2 linked regions of the Yarrowia lipolytica genome follow. The protein of the gene in region 1 purifies or fractionates together with the protein of each later gene. This does not show direct contact. Links are inferred from orthologs where the notes say so. Each region holds a gene or a part of one and is shown in the gene's direction. Other genes may lie near its edges.

What was found.
Region 2: the proteins of YALI1_B26430g (region 1) and YALI1_F18105g purify together in Saccharomyces cerevisiae (affinity purification with mass spectrometry; 4 studies listed by BioGRID). This does not show direct contact. The link is inferred for Yarrowia lipolytica from reciprocal best matches to the Saccharomyces cerevisiae genes ROM2 and IPP1.

The regions. Positions count from the first base shown.
Region 1 is NC_090771.1:2,638,660-2,645,791, reverse strand, and holds YALI1_B26430g (uncharacterized protein), read left to right. Parts: upstream 1-2,113; coding exon 2,114-2,164; intron 2,165-2,723; coding exon 2,724-6,614; downstream 6,615-7,132. Other genes in the region: YALI1_B26451g (uncharacterized protein), read right to left, coding at 188-715. UniProt on the Saccharomyces cerevisiae protein: Stimulates the exchange of RHO1 GDP-bound form into GTP-bound form.
Region 2 is NC_090775.1:1,808,805-1,812,361, reverse strand, and holds YALI1_F18105g (uncharacterized protein), read left to right. Parts: upstream 1-1,788; coding exon 1,789-2,766; downstream 2,767-3,557. Other genes in the region: YALI1_F18122g (uncharacterized protein), read right to left, coding at 1-85; YALI1_F18081g (uncharacterized protein), read left to right, coding at 3,467-3,557.

The DNA.
Region 1 (7,132 bases):
TCCATACGACCAGCTCCTACAAAGTTACCTTATCATATCATTCATTAGTTACATTGTGTATCCAGGGCTTTAGTTTGTGCTCTGATGCACCTCTTCCTTCAGCTGTTTGGTGGAGATTCATCACCGGAGTTGCTTGTGTTTGTTCACCGCTCATACATTACCCGGCTGTGCCTAGTAATTCATTCGCTTACAAACTCTTGTTCATAAAATGCCTTCTGGTGAAAGCCAACCAGTACTTGTTGGGCTTGGAAGGGTCGTCCTTGTAGATCTTCTCAATCAGACGCTTTGCCAGCTCCTGTCTGAATTGCATCAGGTAGCCTCGCAGCAGTTCGACCTCATTTCGGTCTCGGGGAGGGGCGTAGAGAGAGTTCAGTGGGAAGCCGGCGTCTCCGGGAATGGAAAAGTGTTCCACAGCAGCAGTGTTCAGCAACTTGTTGGCCTCGTTGGCAGAAGTGGTAGGCTTGAGCTTTCCCAGACACTCGGACACAAAGAGAATGCCGTAAATGAGAGCCCGGTCGGCAGGGCCCTTGATCTCAAAGTTCTTAAAGAATGAGTTTGCTCGGAACAGATCCAGCACCTCGTCGATGATGTCGTAGTCGGCGTTGCTGGGGTAACTGGGGCCTCGGAATGACGTTTTGATGGGGAGGATAGCGAAATTGCCCACTACCCGGGTGTCCTGGTCCTCGCCGAGAAATGTACTGTTCAGAGCTGGCATTTTTGTGTCTGGTTGGATGTGTTAACGTTGGTGATGCGTTGGTAATGACAGGTTTGGGTGTGATGAGGTGGAGATAGCTGGTGAACTCTAATAATGGCGCAGTTAGAGGTGAAATTGCAAGGAATGGTGGGAGGTGAGATTTTGGTGACCGGAGGTAGGTGGATTGATGGAATGTCATAAGCCGATTCAATTGAGTGAATTGGAAATGTTTCGACCATGAATTCCGCTGATTACGAAGCGAACATTCGGAGGAAGGGGGTGCGGGTTGCTTCAGTAACATACTTGGATTTTACTTGGATGGCACTTGAGTTTGTTTTCTCAAATCACTCCCTCAGTTGATTGAACTTCAGATTTACTGTACCGTAGCTACTGTGTCAGATAAAGGTGTGACCGACTGTAGTGCCAGCCGGGTTGACTTGCGGGGAACCGGAGTTAAGAGAGTTCATTATCACACCCTGGTACAAGTACAAGTAGCCGATGTTCGTATTACAGTAGTAAGTGTCTCAATGTCAATACCGTAATGGCTATAATCGGGGAGGGGACGAGGATCATTCTGTAGGACACATGCCTACAATACAGTTGCACCTATCGTAGGTACAAGCAAGCTGTGTGGCAAGTGCGAGCGAACAGTTATTGAGTTAACAATTGAGTGGTTATCGTGCTTGAAGTTGAAAGGAATTGTTATCTACTTGTGGCTACACAAGGCACTATTTTCGGCTTCCAGCCACTCCCTTGCTCAACTGCTACAGGACCATCGGCTGACGGTCTTGAGTCTTCCGTGTTTATTGCTTTTTGGACTACTGTACCCCTGTGCTTATTAAGGACAAATGAGGTTAAGTGATGGACTGCATACGACGGACATAGTGAATATGACCGACAATGGTGGGTCAGAGAGGGGTACTTTTGGGTAGAAAGGTGACAGTAAAAGCCAGCAAATAGTTCATCACAGGCTATTATGACACACTGGAGGTGTTTGGACTTCTTCATCATCTCTCCAAAAAAGTATCTCGAGTACTCATACAAAGGTCTGCTCTTGTACAGTCTTCCCCAACCCTATTTTCTGACGTTTTCGGCAGTCCTATAAATGCCGAAAAAAAAGACAGATTTTCACGAGAAAAAAGACCACCGGTTCACCACATTGTAGCAAGTAATATAGACCGTACCGACCGGGTCAAGTTGCATGCGTCTCCCTCATAGCGCTCCATTTATTCCCCCCACACTAATACCGCAGGTGACTAAGCAACCTAAAGTTGGCACCACACAAACACAGCCTCGTGCGTCTTAGGGTACAGTACTACACTTTTTCAGAGCCCGCCAATCTCTACACCAGTTGTTGTTTGCACGACACAACGCCCCAAGAGACACACAACTAGTCACACTCGACCCAGGGCAGCTCAAATGGCGCAGGACGTGTTGGATATTCCTTTTACCGATATTCCGTCGATGCAGGTGAGTAGATGAGACATGAGGAGAAACCCTGATAGACACAGGCAATGGGTGATATGGACAGAAAGGAGACTGATGTGAACACAGAACCAGTGGCAAGCGAGACACAGACAGGCAGAAGAAGAGACCTAGAATTAGAAGCATCGACATGGCTCATATCCCAACAGTACAAGCGGTGTTCCTATCGTACCGCGCAGTTACACAGATGAGCGGATGGTTTAAGGGTGACGTGAAGGATATATTCAGATGAGATTGCTGTGGAATGTGCAGTAATTTCATTTGGTGAATGTTCACGACTGTACTGTTCCTATGGCGACATTTTAGCGACACTGTTTGACGTGGTTTGAGGGGAACCAAGGCGTACCAACGCATCGCACGACACATCACGACGTGGTGTAGAGCATACATGACGACACACTTAGGGCAAATCAAACCTACATCGACTCTAAGAATCGCCATATACAAATTATCACAGCCCATTCTTCTGCTCCACTAGCTACATCTCGTTGTCCGCCCTCGACTTTCGGACCCTCACACCTGTTGCTCCCGTATACTAACCAAGCGCATCCCCGCCTCGCGGTCCATGCAAAACCTCAACGAGCGGTATGAACAAGGCCAAGCCCCTCCCCAGGGCCAGACCAAACAGCCCCCCATGCAGCCCTCGCATCATGCCAATCCCCCACCCCAGCATCACCAGCAGCCACAGCAACACATGCCACCGCGACATTACCCGACCAACCGGCCACAGCCCGGACAGGCCCAGCAGCAGTCGCCGAGACAGTACCCGCAAGGCCAGCCTCAGGGACACACGGGCCAGACCCAGTATCCTTACGCTGTAGGACGACAGGGACAGCAGGCTCCTCCTCAGCATGCTTCCCAGCAGGTGCCCCAGCATGTTCCCCACGCGCCTCCCCAGCAGCACCACGGTCCTCCCCCGCAGAATCATGTTCCTCAGCTGCAGCACGGTCCTCCGCAACATGCTCCGCAACATGTTCCACCCCCGCATCAGCAGCAATACTCGCCTCAGAAGCACCCTCAGGGCGGCCAGGTCCAGGGAGGAAACATGCCCCCAACAAGTATGGGCCAGGGAATGACTCCTGGAGCACCGCAATACGGTGGCCAGCAGTTCTCACGACAGCAACAACCGCCACAGATCCAGACCCAGGCTAACCCTTACCACATTTCCCGGCGACCCCAGATGCGACACACCCAGTCGGCCACCTCTCCGACCTCCCCCTCCAACCCGTACTCGCAGTTCAGCCAGTTCAATCCGGGCAGATCAGTGTCTGGTGGACCTCAGCAGCATCACCCGGCTCACCAGCAGCAGTACGGACGGTCCATGTCTCTAACTCAGCAGTCGGTGGCAGCAACATCGCGAGGCAACCCCAACGTCTACGATCGAGAAACCGGGGGCCGAACCTCTACCATGACTTCAACCTCTTCAGGTAGAGTGATTCCGCCGCGACAGGGAGGACCTCCTGGCTCTGGACCTGGAGGAATGGGAGGCAGCACCCATGCAGTTAACGCACAGGGACACAGCATCCCTGGGTCAACCGTCAGTCTCAACTCGACGGTAACTCCCTCTACGTCGGCAACCCACCTTCCCTCGTCTTCCTCTGCGTCGGTTGCCACTGCCAGCACGGTCGTGTCTCCCACACAGCAGTCAAGCTTCGGCAACCACAGAACGACCTCCACATCGTCCATGCGGTCGTTGTCATCTGAATTTGGCCCCTCTCCTCGTTCTGCAGTACTCACTGCCTCGCGACGAGCCCCTCTCGTCTACCCTGCGTTGCTGTCCAAGGTGGCCGAGATGTTCCGACTCACCGTTGTGGTAGCAGACAAGAAGAAGAACGAGCTGAGTTACTCCAATTCGTTTCTGGGTTCCGAGGCTGTGTCAGTGATTGCCGATATCATCAAAACCACTGACAGAAACCTGGCCCTGCTTCTCGGCCGGTCTCTGGATGCCCAAAAGTTCTTCCACGACGTCACCTACGACCATCGGCTGCGAGACTCGCCCTTTGAGCTGTACCAGTTCAACGAGATTGTGGAAGCCAATGATGCGGCTGCCCAGACTGTTGGAATGCCTGTCAACGGTGTGTTCACGCTGCTGACAGAGTGTTACTCTCCCACGTGCACTAGAGACAAGCTGTGTTACTCCATTGCCTGTCCCAGGCGTCTAGAGCAGCAGGCTCGGCTCAACATGAAGCCCAGCGGTCTTAAGCGATCTGAGTCGCGTCTGTCTCTTCACGGCGACAGCGACAACAAAGAGCAGAAGCTGTGGAGAGAGCGGGTCACTAAGGAGATAGCCAACAGTGTGGATGACGAGGAGAAGAAGCGACAGGAGGTCATTTGCGAGCTCATTTACACAGAGCGGGACTTTGTCAAGGATCTGGAGTATGTACGGGACTATTGGATCACTCCCCTGCGAACCTCGAACATTATTCCCGAGGCTCGACGAGAGCGATTCATCAAGATGGTCTTTTCGTTCATCATGGACGTGCATGCCGTCAACATCAAGCTGGCCGAGGCTCTGACCAAGCGAGAGCAGTTTGCGCCTGTTGTTCGACGTGTCGGAGACATTTTCCTGCAACACGTGCCACGATTCGAGCCGTTCATTAAGTACGGAGCCTCGCAATTGTACGGTAAGTATGAGTACGAGCGTGAAAAGTCGTCTAACCCGGCATTTGCCAAATTTGTCAACGACACGGAGCGTCTCGAGCAGTCTCGAAAACTGGAGCTTAACGGTTACCTGACCAAGCCTACCACTCGATTGGCCAGATATCCTCTGCTGCTCGAAGCTGTGCTGAAACACACCAAGGAGGACAACCCCGACTACGGTGACATTCCTGAAGCCATCAAACAGATCAAGGCGTACTTGATGAAGGTCAACGAAAAGAGTGGTCAGTCCGAGAACCGGTTCTCGCTGATGCAGCTGAACCAGTCGCTGGTGTTCCAGAAGAACGACTACGTGGACCTCAAGCTGATGGAAGAGTCTCGACGAATCATTTTCAAGGGCTCTCTCAAGAAGCGAACCCAGGACACCCAGGGTGAGATCCAAGTGTACTTGCTGGACCACTTTTTGCTGTTCGTCAAGGTTAAGGTGGTCAACAAGCGGGAAATTATGCGTGTATACAAGAAGCCCATCCCCCTCGAACTTCTTTTGGCTGCTCAGGCTGAGGAGATCGGTCCTAAGAGCTCTTCATTCCGACGGCCTCCGTCTTCGCTGATCCCCAAGACTGTGTCGAAGGAGTCGTCCAATGGAAAGTACCCTCTGACCTTTCTGCATATCGGACGAAAGGGCTACGAGTTGACTTTGTATGCTGCCAACTTTGCAGCTCGAAAGGCGTGGTCTGACAACATTGAGTCGCAGAAGAATGCCCGACGAGAGCTTGGCGACGTATTCTCGCAGTACACGCTGTGCTCCGGCTTTTTCCACGGCAATAACCGTGTCAATTGCGTGGTTCCCATTGACGGCGGAAGAAAGGTGCTATATGGAACCGACTCGGGAGTGTTCATTTCTGACATCCGGCATCTTCCAAAGCAGCAGGGCTCGCTACAGAACTCCATTGTGGCCACCACCCCTGTCAAGCTCATTTCTACGAGCAACGTGACCCAGGTGGCCATTCTGGACGAGTACACGACGATTTTGGCGCTTGCTGACAAGACTCTATATGCTTGGCCGTCCGATATCATCGATACTCCGGATCCCGTATCCAACTCGCGAAAGGGTAAGAAGGTTCTTGGTCACATCAACTTCTTCAAGGCTGGTGTGTGTAATAACCGAATGCTGGTCTGCACAGTCAAGTCGAGCTCCACTTCGTCCACCATCAACGTCCTGGAGCCCTCAGAACCCCTAACCAAGAACAAGCGGCAAACAACCCTCCTGTCTCTCAAGAAGGGACGTCAGGACACCGAGTTCCGGTCGTTCCAGCAGTTCAACATTTCTTCAGAGATTATCTCCATCTCACTGTTGTCTCTCAACTTGTGTGTTGGCTGTGCTAACGGTTTCAAGGTGGTGTCCCTCACCAATTTCGACACTCAGAGTCTGCTGTCTTCTGCAGATACTTCCCTGGATTTCGTCATTGGCAAGGAGCAACTCAAGCCTATTGCAGTGTACCGACTTGATGGCGAGTTCTTGCTCAACTTTTCCGAGTTCTCGTTCTACGCCAACGCCCATGGCTGGCGAAAGCAGCCCATGTGGCGAATCGACTGGGAAGGCGTGCCTCAGAACTTTGGTATCTGGTACCCGTACCTGTTGGCTTTCGAACCCAACTTTGTGGAGATTCGGCATGTCAAGACGGGCGAGATTGTGAGCGTGATCCACGGCGAGAACATCCGGTTCTTGCACGAGTCGTCGCGGGAGATCATCTACGCGTACGAGGACGAGCGGGGCAACGATGTGATTGCCTGTCTGGATTTCTGGGAAAAGAGTCAAAAGAGAGTGGCGGCGTAGGAAAAATCAGTTTTAATGGGGGAGTGTATGTACATTTATTTATTTAATAATCAACCAGTGAAGAGGTGTGGCCTCAGAGCGATGTGTAGGGTGGAAGGGTATTTGTCTTATTGAGTGGATTATTATGGCAATGTGATGATAATAGTGAATCTGTCATCTACTGTACGATAGAAGTACAGTATGTACCGGTACTTGTAAGAGGGTGCTTTAGGTGGTAATGGCAGCGTACAAGGACTTGAAGACCCGCACAACCATTTCCACCTCGCTACTCACTGCCTTTTTAGCTCAGCGGGTGAGAATGTCTCCAGTCGCAATGGTTAGCGAGATGAACGATGCGAACGATTGAGTTTCATTTAGCTCGATTTGGACGTCACTCAACAGGTCCAAAGGTGACACTTTCTTTTTTGGACGTTGAGTGTGGAATAATCCGGTGGAGGTTGTCGTATTATTGCATCCATTAGTTTTTCCGCTTTTGAAAGAGGGGTATATGGACTGACGCTAATTGTACTTATCGTCTG
Region 2 (3,557 bases), on another chromosome or scaffold:
TGTCGTCAATGTATTTTTTGGACGTCCCCTGGTGGTCAAACAGGCGTTTTGTCTTGCGTACTACCGACTTTCGAAACGTGCGCATGTGTGTAGGAGGGGTCTAAGTTAGATAAGCTTGGAGAGGTTTAGAGTTGAAACCTCGAGGTTTTTCGACACTGTTGACTGTGGTCATGGAGGGTTAGTTTCTGGCAAAGGGCTCATTGAGGTAGTAGCTGACGGTGTCTAAGCTAGGAGAGCGGTAAAATGAAGAAGAAAAAAAAAAAAAAAAAAAAAAAACAAGAAACAACTAAGAAGATCTCGGGGAATATGTTCAGGAGGTGGCCCAACTTGCTGAAACTCTATAGTGTGTTCCATATCTACCTACTTGTAGTGCGGTGTCAAGAAGCAACCTGAAACGGGGATTTCACGAATAATTAAGAGGAAAAGAGGAAGTAAACATATTCTTTTTTTCATTAGCTGCTAAGAATTGAATCGATCAACTGTTAATCCTCTACAATTGAGGGAATTGCCTCACTATCAGGGGGTAAACTATTGGATGGAGATTTGAGGAAGCAATGAGATAAAAACACCCATCATTCGGAGCTACACATGAGTATAGTACCTTAATGTCGTTTGTATTGGTCTTATATAAACCTCATCTGTTTGCTGGTAGTCTTTTTACTCTGAAACAGTCGGTTTGAGTCATGTTTTGGGTCTACCTGTGGGTTGTCATAGCAAACTTGGAAAGGTTGTAAAACATGTAAAAATGGGTTTAGGGTGGCATTGTCGTCACCATTTGATTAATTCAGGTGTCTAGTTTCCAATGGTATTACTTTTATCCCAAAATCGCGGGTTAATGAGGTCAGAATTTTGATTATGGTTGCAGAAATTTCCTCTAATCAACGCTTAATTTAAGCCATCATAGTATAGTGGTTAGTACACCACGTTGTGGCCGTGGAAACCTCAGTTCGATTCTGGGTGATGGCAGTTTAACAACTGCTCCAAACAAGTGGGTTAAATTCCCACAACCTTTTTTAATATTTTTCCCTTTTCCTTTTCCTTTTCGCTTGCTCTAGTGTACTCTTATGAGATGGATGGCGATCTACGCCTTGAAACCCGAAGACACACGATAACCGATGCATATGGCAATATCTCCGCGCAAGAGCCGAAGAGAATGTTGGGTTTCGTGCGATAATCAACTGCCTGCTTTTTCGTTTGAAGTTTAGCCCAGCCGCTCTCTTTTTCACCTGCTGTCGCACTAACGCCATCCACGTCACAGCTCATGACAAAACCTCCTCGGAGGAGCCCAGAATAATCAGTATTGCACCCCACACCACGTTTCGGCGCGCAATCGCAAATAAGAGGGCACAGGTGATGGTTGCTGAGGCAGGCACTTGTACGTCATAGGTGTATGACTCAGGGTGCATTGAACAGGTAATAACTGCCCATCCACTTTGTTGTTGGGCAATGTGTGTGTGCTAAATTTCGTCTGGAGAGTGATTTTCACAAGATGTAGAATCCACCACATCTCAATTGATGGCACAGCGTCGCCACACACGCACATGGGCCTCCGAGTCGCACTTTATGTGGGGAAAGTTAGGCTCCCCCCATGCTCACCAATAACAGTACATATAGACCCATGGAAACCCAAAGAAGGGACCTCACCTTTGGCTGAGAGAGCGTGCACGACGGGAGCACTTGTACAACAATCGGATCGACGCCAACCAGCCCAGCCTGAAAGACCCACCACAATCGTCGCCACGAGGCCACCGCCAAAAAGATCAAAGGACACGCATATATATCACACACATGCCATCACACGTGACGAGGACAAGTTCAGATCAGGTTACCCTACCGCACACCACGCATCATCGTCTTGGCCAGGTCAGCCAGCACTTAACTTCTTCATCCAACACCAGCAACATGTCTACCTACACTACCCGGTCCATTGGTGCCCCCAACACTCTCGACTACAAGGTCTACATTGAGAAGGACGGCAAGCCCGTTTCCGCCTTCCACGACATTCCTCTGTACGCCAATGCTGAGAAGACCATTCTCAACATGATTGTCGAGGTTCCTCGATGGACCAACGCCAAGATGGAGATCTCCAAGGACCTTGCTCTGAACCCCATCATCCAGGACACCAAGAAGGGCAAGCTCCGATTCGTCCGAAACTGCTTCCCCCACCACGGATACATCCACAACTACGGTGCTTTCCCCCAGACCTGGGAGGACCCCAACCACGTCCACCCCGAGACCAAGGCCAAGGGTGACAACGACCCGCTCGACGTCTGCGAGATCGGTGAGACTGTTGGCTACACTGGCCAGGTCAAGCAGGTCAAGGTCCTCGGTGTCATGGCTCTCCTCGACGAGGGTGAGACTGACTGGAAGATCATCGCCATCGATGTCAAGGACCCTCTTGCCTCCAAGGTCAATGACATTGAGGATGTTGAGCGACACCTGCCCGGTCTTCTGCGAGCCACCAACGAGTGGTTCCGAATCTACAAGATCCCTGACGGAAAGCCCGAGAACCAGTTTGCCTTCTCCGGTGAGTGCAAGAACAAGAAGTACGCCGACGAGGTCATCCGAGAGTGCGAGGAGGCCTGGGAGACCCTCATTGCCGGAAAGGCATCCGACGACAAGGGCATTTCTCTCGAGAACACCACTCTTGAGAACACCCCCACCTTCACTGCCTCTGCTTCCATTCCCGAGGGCCAGAACCTTGCCCCTGCCCCCATTGATCAGAGCATTGACAAGTGGTTCTACATCTCTGGTGCTTCTGTCTAAACAGAGTCCCTAGTGTAGTTTATATATAGTGCAAGAAATTGTTGATACAAGTGAGTGAGTGAGTGGATGTATGAGGAGAATATGTAGTCGTTGAAGTGATGTGACGATCAATTGATTGATTGGTGCTCTAGGTTGAATCAGGATACAAGTGCAGTACGAGTATTTGTACCGGTAGCTACTTGTATTTATGTCAAGTATGTACAGTATATCGTTTTGTTTTTGTTTTTTTTTATGTACTGTAAATATTTGTCGGGTAGCACTCGACGATACAACATTTCACTTCTAATAGCAATTGATAGAGGCGACTTTCTCGACATGTTGATACACATCAATCATGCTATTCAAGTCCTTCTTTCAGTTATCGACAACTGTTTATGTCGGTTTTTGGTCGTGTCCTCTTGGGTATTTACTCATAACCTGTGAGAAATGGAAACACCCACACACGCACACCAGAATGCCACCAAAACATGCACTACAGAGTCTACATTGAGGGTATAAAACGTGAAAAATGAGGGGGGGGAAATTGTTTTTAAATAATTGAGTAGATAGAAAGATTGTTTCTCCTCTTTGGCTTGATATCACGTGTTTCGACCCCAGTGTGTACCCTCCCTCCGGTCACTGTTTTTGATTGAGCTTGCTTGTCTACATTGTTATGCATATTAACTTTGAAATTTTACAACCCCATCAACACACTATTGAAATGGCGTCTCTATGGACCTATGAGAGCGTGTACTACTTGCTCAAGAGTGGCCGTGCCTCCGAGGACCAGAAGCAGTCGCTTCACACGTTTT